Linked DNA regions of Drosophila melanogaster. The gene in region 3 interacts genetically with the main gene of each other region. Each region holds a gene or a part of one and is shown on either strand. Other genes may lie near its edges. The genes, in order: kek6, Oamb, CaMKII and spz5.

Evidence for each region.
Region 1: of CaMKII (region 3) and kek6, changing one suppresses a phenotype caused by changing the other (phenotypic suppression), as found in Drosophila melanogaster (one study listed by BioGRID).
Region 2: of CaMKII (region 3) and Oamb, changing one suppresses a phenotype caused by changing the other (phenotypic suppression), as found in Drosophila melanogaster (one study listed by BioGRID).
Region 4: of CaMKII (region 3) and spz5, changing one suppresses a phenotype caused by changing the other (phenotypic suppression), as found in Drosophila melanogaster (one study listed by BioGRID).

Annotation. Positions count from the first base shown.
Region 1 is NT_033777.3:31,620,106-31,625,138, forward strand, and holds the start of kek6 (kekkon 6), read left to right. Parts: upstream 1-2,030; 5' UTR 2,031-2,717; intron 2,718-5,033. Other genes in the region: pasha (partner of drosha), read left to right, coding at 1-354, 411-665, 725-1,012.
Region 2 is NT_033777.3:20,711,544-20,716,236, reverse strand, and holds the start of Oamb (octopamine receptor in mushroom bodies), read left to right. Parts: upstream 1-1,659; 5' UTR 1,660-1,757; intron 1,758-2,486; 5' UTR 2,487-2,918; intron 2,919-4,693. UniProt on the Drosophila melanogaster protein: Receptor for octopamine (OA) which is a neurotransmitter, neurohormone and neuromodulator in invertebrates. Stimulates intracellular accumulation of cAMP and Ca(2+) following ligand binding. Required for ovulation.
Region 3 is NC_004353.4:1,048,368-1,053,247, reverse strand, and holds the start of CaMKII (Calcium/calmodulin-dependent protein kinase II), read left to right. Parts: upstream 1-1,869; 5' UTR 1,870-1,905; exon of another isoform or gene 1,906-2,554; intron 2,555-2,638; 5' UTR 2,639-2,728; coding exon 2,729-2,793; intron 2,794-2,855; coding exon 2,856-2,950; intron 2,951-4,001; coding exon 4,002-4,061; intron 4,062-4,689; coding exon 4,690-4,744; intron 4,745-4,880. UniProt on the Drosophila melanogaster protein: A key regulator of plasticity in synaptic physiology and behavior, alterations in its activity produce pleiotrophic effects that involve synaptic transmission and development as well as various aspects of behavior. Directly modulates eag potassium channels.
Region 4 is NT_037436.4:2,889,126-2,893,771, reverse strand, and holds the start of spz5 (spatzle 5), read left to right. Parts: upstream 1-1,605; 5' UTR 1,606-1,905; intron 1,906-4,526; 5' UTR 4,527-4,608; coding exon 4,609-4,646. UniProt on the Drosophila melanogaster protein: Neurotrophin which may function as a ligand for the Toll-related receptors Toll-6 and Toll-7. Binds to Toll-7 and Toll-6, and probably acts as their ligands in the promotion of motor axon targeting and neuronal survival in the central nervous system (CNS).

The DNA.
Region 1 (5,033 bases), on a different chromosome or scaffold from region 3:
CTAGCGAATGCTGGCGAAGGATCAACGAACCCGCGCGGTCGGAAGGAGTGGATCATGAATCCCAATGGCAAGAGCTTCGTCTGCATCCTGCACGAGTACGTGCAGCATGCTCTGAAAACGCAGCCCACCTATGAGTTCAAGGAGCTCCAAAACGCAGCCACGCCTTACTCCGCCACCGTATCGGTGAACAATCTCAAGTATGGCACGGGCTATGGCACCAGTAAAAAGCAGGCCAAGTCAGAGGCGGCTCGGGAAACGCTGGAAATACTCATTCCCGATGTCAAGGACAAGATAACGGGCAACAATAAGGACCAAAAGAGCGGCACTGCGAAGAAAGCGCAGAGCGATCTGTCTGTAAGCAATCTACCTATAGAAAATGGAACCACTTCTTATTTTTATATTTCTTGCAGGTTTTCGATGACATCCGCATCGAAGATCCCCGAGTCACCGAATTCTGCAACAAGACGACGGAGCCATCTCCCAACGCCATTCTGCTGACTTGCTTGCAGCGCAACTACGGCAGCGATGTTCAGATCAGCCAGGAGATCAACCGCACCGCGAATAACAAGAACGAGTTTACCATGACCGTGGGCAAACATACTGCCAAAGTGGTGTGTAAAAACAAGCGGGAGGGCAAGCAGTTGGCTTCGCAAGCAATCCTCCAGGTGAGCATTGATATTTCTTTATAACTTTACTTATAGCTATTGAGTTAACCTTTCGTCAGATTTTGCATCCGCACATCCAGACCTGGGGTTCCTTGTTGCGCCTCTACGGCAACAACTCCATAAAGACCTTCAAGGAGAAGAAGCTGGAGGAGCAGGAGATCACCGTGCTGCAGAGCAAGGCGGCAGTCAACCAACCCAACTACGCCATACTGGACAAACTTAAATCCGAGATGTTGAAACTGTGTGCCAAGCAGGAGAGCGTCCTAACCATGGGCACTTTTGTGCCGCCAAGCGACGTCGATCTGCCCACTTCCTCCGGGTCCAATTTGAACAACGTGGAACTTTGATTGGGAAACACACATCTCTCTCGCCAACATTGATTCTCTAGTAGTGCATGACAACCTCCTAGTCTCTTAGTTACCCACCCATTTCCATATTCGAAAAGCTAATGACAACAACGACGCGTTCTCTAGAGGCATACGAACTGATTTCAAATCGGCTTCATCTATCTGAGCTGGTTAATCTGAAGTGGCTTTAGCAAGTGGCCAAAAATGAAGAACAATTGCCTATCAAGTGGTTTTACATTAAGGTAAATTCATCACTAAATTTGCCAAATATAAGTAGTTCATGCTTGCAATAGCTAAGATTAGGGGTTCAATTTCACTTGTATAATATAAGCTTGAATAAAATACTATTAAAAACGCAGTCCTTTATATTTGAGTATAGAGATGTTCGTCTAAGATCTTTATCTGCAATACCAATTAAAAAAGTAGAGTTCTTAAGTATTTGACAACTATTCATTTGGGCAGACAGCAGGACAATTATTTGCTCATGATTTGTTTATCAAATTTCCTCGTAAATCTTCTCGTATCGCTTTCATTCTTGGAACGTTCAAACACCATTGACCCGTAACCAATTTGGAAGACATTTTAAAAAGTCGTATGGAATATAAAAAAATGCATATTTACATGGCCATTAGGATTCTCGGGTGTTTTTAGGCGGTCGGTCGTTAGGTGAGTGGATGTTAATATTTAAGGCGGTGGGCAGGGTGTAGGTTCGTAGGTGTGTGTGCGTGCAATTATTTAAAAGACGATGCAGTCATAAATTATGCTACATTTTCATTTCATTCTAACGTTTCCTTTTTTATAGCATTCCAACGAGCGTGGCACACACACATACCCACCACGGAGAATGCGGAGAGACAGTCGCAGAGAGAAAGTCCGAGAGAGAGAGCGCGGGAGAGCGGCGCAGGCGCAGATCCCGGATTTTGCGCAGCAGCCATGCTGCGAGATGAATTGTGGCGAGTTCTGACTTGCCAATTCGCAGGCCATATCTGTATCTTCAGTACGGATTCTTCGCGTGGCGAGAAAACCACTTCCCGGCGCTCCTATCCTCAGGACTTTCGTCTGGGATTTGTAATTGAATCACAGTAACTCGGGACAGACCGAAAAAAAAAACGGGGAGAAAAACAGAAAGCCAAGAGGTGAATTCGGTGGTACAGCTGAAAAAAGGCCAACTGCAGTGCAGAGCAGAATCATTTTTATTGACATTCATCTTAGTTGCCCCCTCATCCCTCGGTGCCCCCAAAAAAACCAACTTCATAGCCCCCCAGTTCCTCGATTCTCGACTCTCGACGTTCGATTCCCGGTGCTCGTGTGTCGCGTGTTGCAAGTGCGTGGGTCGCGCGTCAAATCAGTGGATGTAGCAAGCGGTACGACACGCGCGCCGTTTTTGATTTTTCGCCCAGCGGCCCAGAAATCGGGCCTGGGAAAAAAGTGCGGATATTCGGTGAAAGACGGAGCACTCGGAAAATAAACGGAAAATCGGGTACACACACGCACTCCTGTACACCGTGTCCAATGCATTTGGCCCGCTTGGCCCAAGCACTCGGAGATATGTAAATTATGCCAAATTCCATTGGAATTTCCGTCAGAGCCAGTGAATCGGTAAGCAGCAGCCGCCGGAGCAGCAGAAGGCGGAGGACGCAGGACGCAGGACGCAGGAGCAAGCCAGTAGCAGCAACAAGGACTGGAGCAACAGCAGTAGGCGAAGGTAAGCGGTAGCGCATTAGGCGCCAAGTGTCAGCGGAGAATGCTGGAAAATTCAATAATCCGCCGCAGGGCGCCCGTTTGTCCCCCTCGTGCCACACGTCCTCCTCGCCGTCCGCCTGCCCGTCTGCCCGAAAAACCCACTCCACGCTTGCCATCTGGGCGCATACCGAATGAACTCGTGCACGGGCAGAAAAAAGTGGATACTACTTTATTTTGGACTGAAAAATTGATGGTGGAATTGTGCTTTACGGTCATTGTCTTGGAGTTTGTGCAATTTTGTGAATTTCCATCCAACGTGTTCCCAAATAAATCCCTACGGCTCAAATGGAAATGGGGTATCGGCTCTTCAAACCCCAAATCCACATCCTTTTTCACAAGGAGAGGCGGTATTATTTATCTTACATTATCGTATAATGGCATATACATATGTATCTGTAGGCGTGTGTTAATTGAATTGCAATATTTGGGAATTTTATGGCGCCGCAAAACAACAGGAAGGGTTGAGTAAATATTGGCAGAGTAATCCACAGAGCGAAGCTGCCAGCTTTTTCTCCTTGTGCACTTACATGGCACATATAGGATACTCGCTCGGCTCTGGCGTAGTCTGTTGCGTCCAAAAGTAGGTTGACTTCGGTCTGGCCGGGTTTTCGGGATTGGATGGGATGGGATGGGGTCTGTTCTGCTTTGCGTTTGGCGATGGCTTTGTTGCCGCTCGATATTCGTTTAGTTTCTATTTCTTTTGCTGTTTCGGTTTCGTTTTCACTTCCAGCTAATTTCGGTGAAATAAAGAGATGAAGAGTAAATAAGAAGTCGGGCGGAGTGAGGACGAATTGGGGGAGCGCCACTTCCCGCGGGAGAAAGTGTCCTTCCTTTGAAGTTGTGCTAAGTAAATCCAGGTAATGCTGCCCAGGACCGCAGGCTTCCATTTTGGGGATTCCTTTCAAGGACTTCTTGAGGAAACAGACGAATTATAGACCCTTTCTAATACATTTTCTTTTCCGGGCTTCCGATGGGTTCGCCTCCTTCTTCAATATAAAAAAACAAAATTTCTCTAAGTTTCGTTCAATTCGGGTTGACAACATCCATTGGATGCAAGAATGTTGGGTTCGAGTAAAAGTTTCTTCCCCATTTACACCTAGTAACTGTGCCAAAAATCGATTATAGAGACCCTTGCTTTATGTTTTCCTAATTCCAATTGATGTGTCTGTTAACTGAGTTGAAAGTAATACTCGTTTAAGTTCTAGCTGAGACAAATGGCAAATACGTTTATCTGCAAGGATTTGCCCTTAATTGCCTTCCCAAAATGCTTTCAACTTGAAGGCATTTAAATCTTGCTTTGCCATTTTGTGGCTTTGTGGCCAAAGCTCTTTTTTACTTAGCCAGATTTTTCCATAACAAAACAGATTTCAATGTTTTTCATGTGCACCATTTTTACAAATACAAAAACTGATTCGAAGTGGCTAAAAAGTCCGAAGAAGGCAGCTCACGTAAGCTTTCCTTTTAATAATGCTCACATTCCCCGAAAGTTTGTTTTAATTAATATTCCGAAATGCTAAACAGACGAAACCAGACAAACAAGCCAGCGAAAATATTTATACAAACCTGAAAGTAAGTTCCCTCGGCTGGAGCCAAAATTTCAAGGGATGCGTAAACTTGGCAGTGAGTCCTGCCCCTCCTCCTCCGCATGCCAAATTCTCGTTTGCGGGTTGCAATGGCAACGATCTGGGAACGATGGCACCGCAAGGTGTCCTTTGATGTCTGATAAGCAAATCCCGGCAATGTGACACCTTCGGCTCAATGGATGACCGACCCGTCGTCACCCATTTTCCATCCTCCATCTTCCATTTCGCATTTCCCACAAAGCGAGCGACCACCAAGAAATCGGAAAATCGGGGGAGCGGTGCGAGTACTTAATAATGCAAATACCCACAAAAACTTTTTGGGGGTTGGGGTCCTGAAAAATTCCAAGAGGGGCTTATCAAATTCTTCGAATGGCTTTGCCCAAAATAGAAAAGTAAGCCAGAAAAATCGCATTCACTCAGTGGCGCTCGACTGTCGGCCAATTTGGCGTGCTAACAAATTATCGCTGGCCGGGAAAATCAATAAGCATTAATCTTGTGGCGATTTTGTCTATATCCCGCACATTATTTGCATAGTTAATGGCCAGGACCACGGGTGCCGTTGGCCATTCAACCGACCACCGACCACCGACCACCGGCAACCAACAACCGATGGGTTTAAGTCCGAGTGGTTGGGCAATTGTTAAAATCGTTGTCCGCCGGACGAGGTGATTATAGCCACTTGTAGTTATGATTGG
Region 2 (4,693 bases), on a different chromosome or scaffold from region 3:
CAGCGCAGCGCCAGGAGAAATCCAGGATAACCGAGCGAGCGAAGCGAACGAAAGACAACAAACGAATATTTATTACAGGTGTTTGCCTTTGACTGACAGAAGGCGCAATCTGACGCCGGAGCTTAGTTTCGGGCACTTCCCAGTGAGGAACTCTGAAAGCTGCGGGATACCCGGGCTTCCAGCTTTCACATAGGGCCACGTCAGCCCATTCCTTTGTTCGATTCTGCCTGCAAATTGATTTCGCATCTTTTATCTGGCCAGACGATGGAAATTTTGCAAATCCGATTTGGTTGAAGAATGAAATGCGTTGCAGACCCAACCGGAATTCCTGAAAAATCCCGAGCCAAATGCAGGATCCTGAAGGGCTAAAAATAACAACAGATTCTGCCGCAGAAATCATTGTGTTTTCTCTATCTATTCATGGTTTAAATTTTAGTCATGGAGGTAAGAAAGTGGAATCTCCGCGAGAACAGAAAAAGCAGAAAATAACGAGGTCCTGTGAATTCATCTGTTCATCTAGTTATGCAAATCCAAGTTAAACGTGCTGCAAGGCATCTGTGTTTCTCGCCAAGTGAGATTTGCAGACCGCCAGGAAATGGAAGCAGGATATAGATACAGTAGTTGTAGCAGAAAGACAGCGAAAGGATATAATTACTATGATGGCGGTCATATTGATCACGAGTCCCAAGGACTAATGAGCAGTTGGGAAAGGAAACTAGGCGGCTGTTCAGTGCTCGTGATGTGTAATTAATTTTTGGGCAACATCTGTTTATCCTAATTAGAGACGATACAAACACACACATGCCAGTGGAGGTTGGCAGGAGTTTTGGGGATGAGCCCGAGGCGTTCTCTTTTCATTTATCATTATTACTGGGCTAGACTAAACGGGGCCAAAAGGTCAGTAAGATAAAAGTTGGAATGTGAGTCGATTAAACGGTCAGAAATCAAGTGAATAATGACCGCAACAGCTCTTTCATGGCAAGTGCCCGCCACTTACTCAGCTTTCAAGATTTCAATGGAGCTTCATAATGAGTTTTGAATAGAGTATTGGTCATGGCGGGATTGTAAGCCAAATACTTGGCGAAAAATCGTAAAAAAAAAATACAAAAAATACCTCGCAGCTCTAATGGAAAATTGGGCAAATTGAAGTCGACCAACTTTGTCGTAAAATGAAATTGCTAGAAATATCAGCGGATGGTACAATCAGAATAAGGCTGAGCGGATGCCCATCAAAAAAGGGGCAAGTGTGTGTCCTTTTTTTCTAGCAGTCCAGCCATCCTTTTGACTGCTCCGAATTTACCAATTTATTATGCGTGGCTTCTTTTATTTGCCATGGCCAACTGGCTGTTTGTCTGGCCGAAAGGTTAACAAGCCAGAAAGCGTCGCAAATCAAAGGGAATTTCAAACTGGCTGCAGGCGAATGCAGATTAGGAGAATCAAGGGATTATAATTAATCAGACGTCTTGGCTCTTACAGCAAATATCGCATGCGATTTTATTTCCAAGCGACTGTTGCGCGCTGTTCAACAAATTCTGCTTTTCTACCGAGCGCTGTTTCTCTTCCTGCTGTTTCAAGTTTTAATGTTCCAATCTCCAACGTTTCCATCTTTCCATTCGTTCCGGAACGAACAATTTCGAACGCACAGTTCGCGCTGAAAATTCAGTTCGTGTTGAAAATTCTGCCGCGTCGGTCGTGCCAATTCGAACGAGCGGAGAAAACTGGCCAGAACTAACGGTTCTTGCCGACGGCACATAACGGTAGCTAACAGTGTTGCGTGGGTGTTAGTGTAAGGGTGCGCTGTGTGGGTGTGTGCCCTTGTGCGTGTGTGTGAGTTGCCGAAGCGCCGAGTGCGAGTCCGAGTGCTCGTGATCGCGAACAACAGCTGTTTTGCACCATTTTGCGAACTCAGTTCCTGTTGAGTCCTCGATCGAAGCAAAAGGATGTTAGCCATATATTGAAGTTATAATTACAGCTGATTGATAACCAAAACTAAAGCTCGAGGCAGCTACGTGCCTTTTGGCCAAAAAACCGAAATATTAAAATTCGCAATAAGCGCGACGAGCGAGTGAGTGCATTCATAATGAATTCGCGAGTGTGAGACGAGTGTGAATGTGTCTTATGTGATTTAATGGGGTTTTCTTCAGCGCCGTGCTAGTTTCGCCTAATCAAATCGCTCGCTTTCGTTCCATTTCGTAATTTCGCTCATTAGCAAACAATTTTCCTTGCTGTCGCCGAAACAAACATAGCATTGACAAAGTGCAATTTTCATAATTGTCCCGCTGTGACATTAGCATATATGCAAAAATAAATATTTCTGTTTATAGATGATGTCAGTCAGCAGATCAGAACTGCATTTCCTTCGCCTTTGTGTCTGCTCTGCTTGAGTAATGACAGCAAATAATTGGTTTGCCATAAATTGCCAGTGCAATGTTGCCGTTGCCAATCCATGCAATTAACAAATAAAACATATTTCAATCAAATTCTAGCGCAAACAAACTATTAATTTCACAAAACCCGGCCTAGTCACGCCCAATCGAAAAGATCAACAAACCACCAAGCACTGAAAACTAAACACTTAAAACTTAAGCACTGCAAAACTGAGTAGTGAATATCGAAAACCAAATGCTGAGTATGGAGATTTTAGGCAAAATGCGTGCAATTATTCAACGCATGACAACCAATTAATTGGCCAAAGAGAGCGAGAGCACACGAGACCCGGGGCAACAAGTCGATATAGCAATAGCTTTTGAAAATATATAGCTATCTGGTGAGCCGGTTAACGCCAGCAAGTGCATCGGAAAACCAGCAACAAACAAAAACTTGACCGATTTTCCAAGCGATTCGGTGACGGGCTCTCGCTAATCTCGCCCAGAAAACTCAGATCACAACCGCCATCGACATCGCGATGATTTATGCAGGTGAGTCTGCTCGAGTTTATGACACTTTTCGAAGTTCAACTAATTGTAGATATTGTAAGTTTGAATATTTAATTCAAATCTCTGAAAATCATTTATTTCAACTACAATATTTGAGGCAATACAAAATTATATTTTAAAACCATTTGGTAATAAAACTATCATTAACCTGTTCAAATATATATTCAGTCATAGACTTTTTACTATACCAGTAGCTTCTCCTATTTTATAAAATAATACTTACTTAGTAGTGGACAAAAAAACTCTATTAATAGATTAGAAGCTTTAAGGCGTTAAAATTGATTTATTATAACAGCGCAACTCATTATATTAATGCATTTCTTATGCTTGCATATGTTCATTTTGTTTGCTGATCAGGGGATCTACAAGTTGTATTCGAGATATTTGCACCCAAATAATGAATCGGTACCAGCAGAAACCCCAAAGCAATGTTTGGGCAATGAGAATGGGTATTAGTGCCAAACAGTACTGGCCATAAATCCATAGTCTCAGTTAATTACAAACCCATATCAACATCTCCGAAGGCGACGACGCAATTAGTTTGGGGGGAAAAGGCGCGCGGCATACAAATTACGAAGCAAAACGAAAAAATTCGTCAAGTGTTTTGTGCATTTTTGCGGTTTTATTTTATTTCGCTTTTTTATTTTGTTTTTATTTTTATTTTTTTTTTTGCACAGGGCTTAGCACGTGGCTGTTGACCGCCTTTGGTTACAGATTTTGTTTATTCACTTTCGGTAGCCTAATTAACTAAATTGGCTGGCTTGTTGACAATGGAAACCAAAGTGCGACCCATCTACCACTCGGCAAGAGTTCCTTCGCCCATCTTCCGAGTTTTCCCCCACCAAGTGTGAAGCTTAGCAGACACAAAGGCCAGTTGACAGGTGAAATGGGGGCAAACAATGGAAGTTGTTTTGACAGGGTCACAATGGACAGCCCGGCCCAATAACACGGACAGACTGGCCGACGGAAGGATGGGTTGCCAGCCGAACGGCTGGGAAATGTAGTAATAAATTAGGTTTTCAAATGGATCCCCATTTATTTCAACTTTAAGTGTGAAATTCCAGTCAGCCCGACTTTTATTTAATGCCACTCAGACATCCCTATATGCGGCTAAAGTCACGACTCGGAGGCATTAATTAGCCAGCTTTCCCAAACCCGTCGCTTTAACTGATAGTAAGCCTAAGTATAAGCGTTTTGAAATAAAGATACTTTAAAATACAACATTTTTATTGTTGTATGCATTTCATCGTGAGTCTCTCATTACTTTATAGAGCTACGTCCTTTTGAGCAGATAAAACGCATTAGCTCACCATCTTGTTCCATTTTACTATCAGAGTACACTTAAAACAAATTCTTGGGCCATGTTGCAGATAAATAGAAAAGTACGTTGCATTAAAGCAGTATATTTTATGTCTAAAATAAATTATTAATTAAGTAAAACGAAAATATTATTTTATAATGGAATTTCTCATAAAAGTATTATTATTAAAAGCTCCATTGATAACTAAAAAATCATTTATTCATTTGTTTCGAAAAATGGTACGCTAAAAACTCTATGGACATTCCCATTTTGACCATGGTATTGAAAGCACTTCTAAAACAGTGCCCGTGTGTCCAGCTATGGAAATCTTCACGCCTGGCCAAGCACAGGGAGCTGGAAACAGGAAGCAGTGCGAACTGGGAACTGGGAAATTTGAAGTGAGAGCTCTGCCCCAAGTGGCAGCCGAGCTGGACGTAAACATAATTCTGTGCTTTGT
Region 3 (4,880 bases):
ATATTCACACGCTTCACTTATATCTTAAAAGGACATTTATACAACATCAGTATGTACCCCATTTTGTGCCTTTGTTCAGTTACGCAGTAAATATAAATATATGACACTTAAAAATTTTGTAATTGTTATTGCACAATATACATACATCTTACAAATTACTCTTGATATCTACAAGAAAGTTTAAAACATACCTAAATACTTACGAGTTATGATAAATGCTTTTTTTTTAATTTTAAAAAAGTGTTTCACATTCTATATATCGTCCCTCCTAGTCCGAAAAATGGGTTTAGTAAAACATTTCTGAAGGTCTCATCCAAATAGTATATTTAATTCGCGTACATAGCGCGTGTTTATATGATTTAATGAAAAAGTATAATTTGCAACAAGTAATTTCCAAGACCCTGAAATATCCTTGCTAAAAGGGGTGGGGCGTTTTACCATTAAGCTCATCAAAAAAAGCTTCAACGCATGTAACCTGCAAAGGATACATACCTACATATATATGTACGTATATATATAACTGCTTCCCAGATACATTCTCATAATCAGGATTTTCTTTTTTAAGAAATTAACCAAAAACACCTGTCGCTTTTTTTAATTGATTGAAATATGTCAATGAGAGTTAAATATATCTGGTTTAAAACAAAGATAATAAAGTTTTGATCACAAATTTTAAACTTTTCGTAACATTTGACTTGACAATATTATATTATAAGTATGTTATTTCAAAATTGCGAGGGTGCAATTAAGGGTCTACATATACCTTTTCCAGGGAAACACTTCTTTTTCATGGTGATTGGGTCTAGTTTTAAAAAAACACGTACAACAAACTAAAAACTAACAGTACCGCTGTTACCGGATATGGCAAAAAACAAACCTCACGGAGAGGTATAAAACAAGAGAGAACGTGACAGTAGTTCATCGACTATTTAACAACCCGACAGAAATGTGCAAAATAAAAGAATAAATAAAAATAATGAAACAAAAAAACAAAACACTTTGTAAATGTGTGGGCAAAATCGAAATAAAAGATTTCAAGACTGAAAGAAGCAAATTATTTTTCAAAAAAATTGGAGTTACAGTTTTAGGCGGATTAAATGTCTGGTTCTCAAGAAAACAAATTTGCATGCTTTATCCCATGCCTGTCGTCCGTATCAACGCTGTTACCGCTGAAACTATAATAACTGGAAAGTAAAACGAAAAAATAATTTCCATTTTTTATTCCTTTACTCAATACGTAATATAGGTTAATAGTAATGATTGTTGCTGCTCTTGATCAGCTGGCTATCACACTAGCTTCGTTGAAAAGTATGTAACTTGCAGAACGACGCGTTTCCGAGCGTTTAAACTATATATAGTCTTCACCAGGATCAATAGCCGAGTCGAATTTTCATGTCCGTCTATCTGTATGAACTCCACGATCTCAGGAACTATAAAAGCTAGAAAGTTAAGATTGTGCCATGCCCTTTTTAAGTTTTCGTTTATTTTTTTTCAAAAAATTGTTGAAATTGTTTTGCCAATTTTAATCGGTACGCCAGAAAAATGTTTAATATTCTCGTTCATACTTCCACTAGCTGAGTAACAATTATCTGATAGTCGAAAAGCTTTACTATAGCGTTTTCTCTTGTTTTAATTCTGCAATGGATTCGTATTTTTTCAGGGCCATAGTTTAATTTGATATTGAAAACGCCACTGAGTGGTTGATATGCATATCGATGTAAGGCCCGTTTACACTGCACTAACCGCGGAGTTATGGTTTTACATATGTAGATACCTTTGCTATTTTGATGTGCATGGGGAACAGTTAAGTGTAGCTTTGGTAAGGAGTTGACCCCTATGTTTAATAATCGAGTTTATTACATTTTTCGTCTATCGAATGTCATGTCATCTCTAGGCAACAACAAGGTATCAGATTCAACGTTTGAGATAGGATAATACATTTTCAGACATTTTTCAATTTGTGCCCCCGCACATGTTGTTTCTTGCGAAGTATGGTGTTTTTTCGTATGATTTCATGATCACATGAAAAAACTTCAACCACCAAAATCTTCAAAATGGAGGTCGAGTTTTCTAGTTTAAGCAACGTGCTTTAAGAGAACTCACTTGAATTACCAACTCAATAAGAAACCTGCGGCTGTTTAAAATAACATAACCCTTATATTATTACAAACCATTTAAAATTTGAAGAACTATATGTAGATTGCTGGTCTGTTTTGCATCGACTCCACTGAGTAATATAGAATTTTAAAATTGGAATAGCGAGACATTCTTTTAATTTTACCGATATGTGTTTCTATGAAATAAGTTACCTAATCTGTGCTCTGAATACTTCTGAATTACATTGGCGAGCTTTACTTTACGAGCTTCATGCCCGATCTTATACAGAGAAGAATGCAAGTTTATACTATGATGGCCGGGGGATTCTCAAATACATGCAGTACCCCTTTGGATACCATAGAACCAACGCTGTCTGAAACTTTTGAACCAGCTAGTGATTACTTTATAACAAAATAATATTTAGAGAAGGCCCATGGTACCTAAATGGTACAACAATGTATGTATGTTTGTACGTTGTAAGCAATTTTTTGTATAATTTTTGTAAAACTGATTTATTATCTTATATTTAAAAATCGTTTAGAAAACAAGAAATAAAACTCCTGAAAAGTGAAATCTGTAGAGCAGTTGAAGATCTTTAGTCGCAATAGATTTTCTTAAGTGTGCCATCGCGATGGCTGCACCAGCAGCCTGTACGCGTTTTTCGGACAATTACGACATCAAAGAAGAGTTGGGAAAGTAAGTTTAACAAACTCAAGGTTAATAAATTTATTATAATAACCCGTCTATTAACATTTCAGAGGAGCATTCTCAATTGTGAAAAGATGTGTCCAAAAGTCAACTGGCTTTGAATTTGCTGCAAAAATTATCAATACAAAAAAATTAACTGCCAGAGGTAAGGCTTTCTGTGTTCTATGTAGGTTATAAATCACATATGTACGCATTTATGCTATGCACACGCATGTAGGGAAACTAAGTGCTGTTTTTAGGTAATTCGTCGAGTACAGTAAAAGGGTATACTAGATCCTTGATCCTTGGAAAGTATGTATATTCTTGATCAGGATCAATAGCCGAGTCCGTCTCTCCGTATGGTCGTCGAGATCTCAGAAACTATACAAGCTAGAAGGCATACAGATTTTAGAAACAAATACGCAGCGCAAGTTTGTTGACCCATGTTGCCACATGCGCCACGCCCTCACTTTTGAAAAATGTGTTGATATTTTTTCACATTTGTATTGGTCTTGTAAATTTCTATCGATTTGCTCAAAAAAAAGTTTGCCACGCCCATTCTAACGCCCTTTAACTTCTATCGATTTGCTTAAAAGCCGCCAACCGGTCACGTCCACACTTTGGACCAATTTTTAAACTTTTTTCTTATTTTATTCCCCAATATCTATCGTTATCCTAGAAAAATGATGAAATTTCGCGTTCCCATTCACACTAGCTGAGTAACTGGTATCTGATGCCGTTTTTTCAACGGCGATATGGCATATCGTAAGAAATCAGTAGTAAACATTGACTGTCAAAAAGTTTTCCTGTAAAATGTACTTTCTTTTTGCTAAGTACGCTTTTGGAAGGGACCATTCTTTTTGTGTAATATCTTCGTCGTCCCTATCTATTTGCCACACAAGTATCAAATAGTTCTACAGTAATTAAGTTGTATTTCTTGGTGTTGTGCTATTTAGTAATTAATAAATTTTTACTGCCAAGACGTGGCCAAAATAATTTTGGAATAGCAGTATTGGCAAAGTGTGTAATTTACAAAAAATATATTAAATAACTTTTAAGAAGTTTGAGCATGACAGCTGGGACAAATTTTGGGCTTAGAGAGAACCATTTGCTTGCTCGCCAAAAACCTCTTATTAACATATTTGTACACATGCATGTATGCATATAAGAGATGCTTATAATATATATATATATATATTTTTTTTTTTTGCTTTTAGACTTTCAAAAACTGGAACGTGAAGCAAGGATCTGCAGAAAGTTACACCATCCCAACATAGGTATGCAACGTGTATATAAATATAATTTACTTACTTATTCTTTAAAGATACGTTTTTCTGAAGATGTATGATCTACATAAAAGTAGACGAACATGGCCTAATATCACTTTGAACATCTACTATACATAATTTTTATATGTACATTCAATCACGGCTTAGACCCCAGTAGTGTTGATGACTTGCAATGTGATCCTGATAAAGGATGGTTTGACGTCCACGGTAACACAACGAAGAAAAAAATAAAATAGAGTTTAGTAGATATATCAATCCGCATCTGCAAGCAACATTCCATTCCTCGCCCTCCCTACTCTCCAATAACAAATCTTCCAAGTAATTTATAATTATAATAATTATAAAAACTTGCAGAACAGCAAAAACCGAACTCATGCAATAGACTTTCCTCTCACTAAAAGCGTAACCTAACAAAACAGTTATTTACACGGACAGTTCAAATCTAGAAACATCACTTCCTCCAGCGTCACCGACAAAATATATAATATGTTCAAAATGTATTTTATAAACATATATTTTTATAGCCTTTAAGGCTTATAATCATTGTCATCCGTAAAAAAAAAACATTAAATACAAATGTATACAACTAATAAATTGTTAATATGTACAATTTCAGTGCGGCTACATGACAGTATACAGGAGGAGAACTATCACTACCTTGTTTTTGACCTGTAAGCATTAACCTGCATAGACTCCTTACCAAATATTTAAATTGCCTATCCCCAAAAGTGTTTTAAAAATATGAGTTTCTAACAAATGCTTGTAAATGTGGCAATGACTCGACTATTGTTTATTGAGATTCATACT
Region 4 (4,646 bases), on a different chromosome or scaffold from region 3:
CAACCGGCGGCATTGAGTTGGTGGACCCAGCCCCTAATTAACCCTTTCGCAATTGCAGCTAAGCCTTAAAACGGCGGTGGGAAGTTGGGGGAGTGGCCCCTCCACGTGTTATATACATATGTAGCCGCGATAGTTTTAGGTATAAAATGATACCTTTGGTCCCGATACCTTGGGCTCGGAGTTTGATTAATGAGCGGCTTAAGTGAATCTCAAATCGAATCTGAGCCTGCTCGGCCGGCAGACTGATGAAGTCACTAATTTGACTTAAAAACGCATTAAAAACCATTTTCGATAAGAGCTTGGAGCCCCATATTGTGATTTCGGCGAGGGTTTTCCCGTACTTTTCTGTCTAGGTCTCGTCTTTGTGAAAGTTGTGCAAAATTGGAGCCAAGAAACCAAAATTGAACGATGAAGCACCCAAGGCGACGGATAAAATTCCAAAACCGCCTCGGAAGATTTGAGAGTGCAAATCTCTTGCTATTGGCAATCAGCTGTAAACATAAATAATGTTCGAGTTTGCGGAGAGTGGACTAACTGGATACCCAGTGAGTAAATCATGTAACCATACTCATTTTTATCACTAATTATCGAATTTAAATAATTCATTTCATTTTCTGAAAATCTTGAAAATCTTACTAGATATATTTCGGTCTATTTGGCTTATACTTTGAACCATAAAAATAATTTAGGCCTTTGATAGTTTAAAACTATTTTACGGTATACATCTCTTTCAACCTTTTTAAAAATTAAATTTATTTGTTTTTTTCTAATTATGTACACACATATTGCATATTCAATACTTTAAAATAAATTGACAGAGAAATTACTGCTCAGCGCTTTCTTCTTGGTTAAAAAGTATTGTAAATATTTATTAGGAATGAAAAAAAAAAAAATAATTCCCAATATACCTGTGCTGAAATATTACCCATAATTCCAGCTTTGGCAACGCGCAAAATTGATTTAAATGCCTTCGACGAGAGACAAAATCGGAGGTAACTCCTACAATTGTGCGTGGTCTTGGCCATTAAAAGCCTTTTCTTGCCAACATTCAATGTCTGTGCCGGAGGCAGCGCCAAATCAAATCAACGGCAGCAGTCACAAATCTGCGACAGATAAAAGCTGTTAACTGACCTTCATTGGCCATAAAAATCCAAATTCATCGCCCGAACAATGCGCCGTATCTATGGGCCAAAACCGGCGGCAACGACGAACAACAATTGGCGAGCAGAAAAATTAACAATTTAAATAAATTCACTTTATTGCAGTTCGCATATTGGCGACAATGTAAAATAAACAATAAAAGTGGTCAATAAATAAGGCCCACGTCATATCGAATGGCCCGAACCACTGGACTTCCGGTCTTGAATCGGGCCAAAAAAGAAAAAGAAAACCGCACCACATATCACATTATACTATGTGGCCAACGACATGAATCACGGGCCAAAAAGTTCAAAGTTGAGCGGGCTAAATTGAGAGATTAGCCTGGGAGATCAGAGCCGGCTATATCTTTTGCTATATAGCTCTGCTCTGACCCAAGCTCTGCTTTTCTCTGCCTCTTTTCCCGAGTTTGCGGCTCTGGGCCGCTGTTAACTTGGCTAAGACCGCTCAGTTGGCTACGAGCTGCCGCCGTGAGCATTGGCAAACGCGTGAAACGGAAAAGACGAAAACGAAATCGAAATCGAAAACCTAAAGTCCAAAAACCGAAATATCCGCGCTCTTCGGTACGTGTTAAGTTTTTTAATTAGTAGAATTTTCAAGTGAGTGTTCGGTGGCAAAAAAAGAGAAAATATTTCACTGAAATACAAAGAGCATAGCTAAGCTCGACAAAAGTGCACATAGTGATCAAAAACATTTGCCAAATACTGTGAAGCAAAAACCCAAACAAATCTACAAGCCGCACACTAGGTGAGTAATTATTAAATTGAATACTTTAATTCCCGCCATAAGTTAATAAATTTCATTGGTTCGTCATCGCAGCTCTGATTTATTATAACGCTTGATTGTTTTCCTTCTTTTTGTATACACTTGTAACCAAAATGTTAGGAAACCAGCAAACACAAATTAAATCAAAGCGATCACAAAACAAAATCCACAAAAAATGCAGACAACACTTTGGGTAAATACAAACAAAATATAATCAAGTGGGGAGAAAAAACCTTGAAAAGTCGTGCTTAATTTCTTAGCTAAATGCAGGCATAAAATATATGTTTAAAAAATTATAATGAAGCTCAGCTATTTGTCTGCCTCCAATCGAATCCATTGTTTTAGTCCCTAAATTAGCTTCAAATAACCCAACCTCTTTGTGAAGGAAAATAATTCAGAGGCTTTGGAAAAAATGCCCGAAGCAGAAGTCTGTCTCTTTGATAGTTTATTTAATGGATAGAAGTAAGGATAGATATTGTGGAAAGTATACAAGTTTACCAATTAAATAAACTAGAGAGCTTAAAACTTTCCTGTGTCAAACACTCGCGTAATAAAAACTTAATAAGCAATCATTATTATTAAATAGCTTTATAATTAATTAGCAGCATTTCGTTTCATTCAGCTCTTTTTTTTAGCCTGCTAATGCTTCAATTAGATGCCAACAAAATATTTTATCCCCTTAAAAAAGTGCCAATCGGGTGAATAAGTGAGAATGTCTGGGCGAGACAAAGATAAAGATCTGACAATCGATCATTACTCAGGCGGGATATAATTAATTAAATATAGATAGATGATTTTGCGGCCAAATCATTCAAATAAATTGAATGGGGCCCAGCGATTTTGAGCACTCAATTTCGAAAATGATGCCGCAGCCAATGGATTAGCCGCTAAAGCTTGGTCAAAGATCTTTAACAATTTCATTAACTTTTGGCCCGTCGGCCTAATGATGTGCAAATGGCCCAAAACACACCATAAAACACGCTGCCACTAAAGTTGCCAAGGGAAACAATGCCAAAACCCATGTCCAACTTCTTTTGGCTGCTCTGTGATTTATGAGGTGATCGCCTGGCGCAACTTTGGCATCGGGGAAATACCAGCAATACGTGGGTGTAGCCATGTGCAAGACTCCATTAGCAGATCGCAGACACTAAATCTGGCTTCGATGCACAGCAGAAAACATGGTTGGAAACGTGGTTTCAAAATACCTAAGCTATTTTAATCTCAGAGAAATATGTGTTATTATATGTATATATAAAATTGTATAAGCATTTAAAGCCCAGCTCAACTACTAAACAACATTTTGTGTTTCAAACTTCTGTTTGATACTTTAATATGCCGTGAATGTTCATTTATTATAATTGTTTTCTTTATTTTTTCATTTTTAATATTATTAATATAATTATTTCCTGTGTACCTTGACGGACACTTTGTCATTGGCTCTTGTTTGTTGACTGATTTGTTTTGCTTGGCTCGTGCAAAAGAGCCTGTGATCCCGGAAATCCTATCGCAGCTTGTGGCAGGTGTTTTTGTATCGGTATAAATTCCAATTGATTCTTGAATGCTCGCTGTTTTTACAGGCACCCCATGTCTGAGTGTTAAAGGCAATTGTTATTGCTTTTTGTTCTATAAATAATTGTGGTACACATTATATTGAAACTATAGCAAAACTTGACACGAAATCCGGTTTTTACCATTGACTGTGACAGCTTTAGATTTGATCACTTGTTAGCATTGTTACATTATAATAATTAAAATATTTGTATAACATTTTTTGTTAATTTTTAGCTCACTTTCGTTAGTTATGTCAGCTGTTAATTAACATTTAATTACGGGATTTTTAATTTTCCCAGATTTTAAAAGTTGATTTCATACGGGAAACATGTTGGGAATTTTTCTTTGAGCTTCTTGTTCATATAAAAGCATTGCTAACTATCGAAATCTAGTCAAAGTTATCTCATAGTTTCCGCAATAAAAACTGCTTGTATTATTATATATATATTCTCTCCAACAGTTGGTAATATATCACTTTAAATATGCAAAATATCTTGCATTGATCTAAACTTAAATTGTCTATAAAACATCCGATTTAAATACCGGCATATTGAAATTCCGTTTTAGAGTCCTAATAAATCATTAGAGTTTATAAGTATTGTCATTAGCTGACAGCTCGGGTCGCCAATTGAGAACGCCCCCACAATGCATGGGGCGTGTCCAGTCCATTATCTTCGCGGCGTATACTTAATCTGCGTATACTTAATCTTGTTGTCTGGAGCTTGTTCGTCACTTTCACTTTTGGCAATTTATTTTCGCTATTTACGGGAGTTGTTCGAGTTGTTTGGCTGTTGTTTGCTCAAGAGGCTGTCGGTGGTGTAGTTCGTGTTTGTGTTATTGTTTTAGTTGTTGATTGTTTAACTTAACAATAAGCCCAAGTGAACTGTGGGCAACAAATAAGCACTTTGAAGCATTTCCGCTGCGGAAAAACCATCACTTATTGTCTGTTTCGTGTCCCAATGGAAATGGTGCGAGAAATGGTCGTGTATTTGCCATTTTTTTGCGACTAATATTTGACCAAATAACTCATGGCAGTTTCTCTTTCGCTTCAGGTTTCCGAATTCACGTTGAAGACACTGGCTGAATCGCAATCGAGTCAAATGCAAATGCAAATCGACGGCGAATGAATTGACAATGACAAAAAGTATTAAACGTCCGCCCCCCTTTAGTTG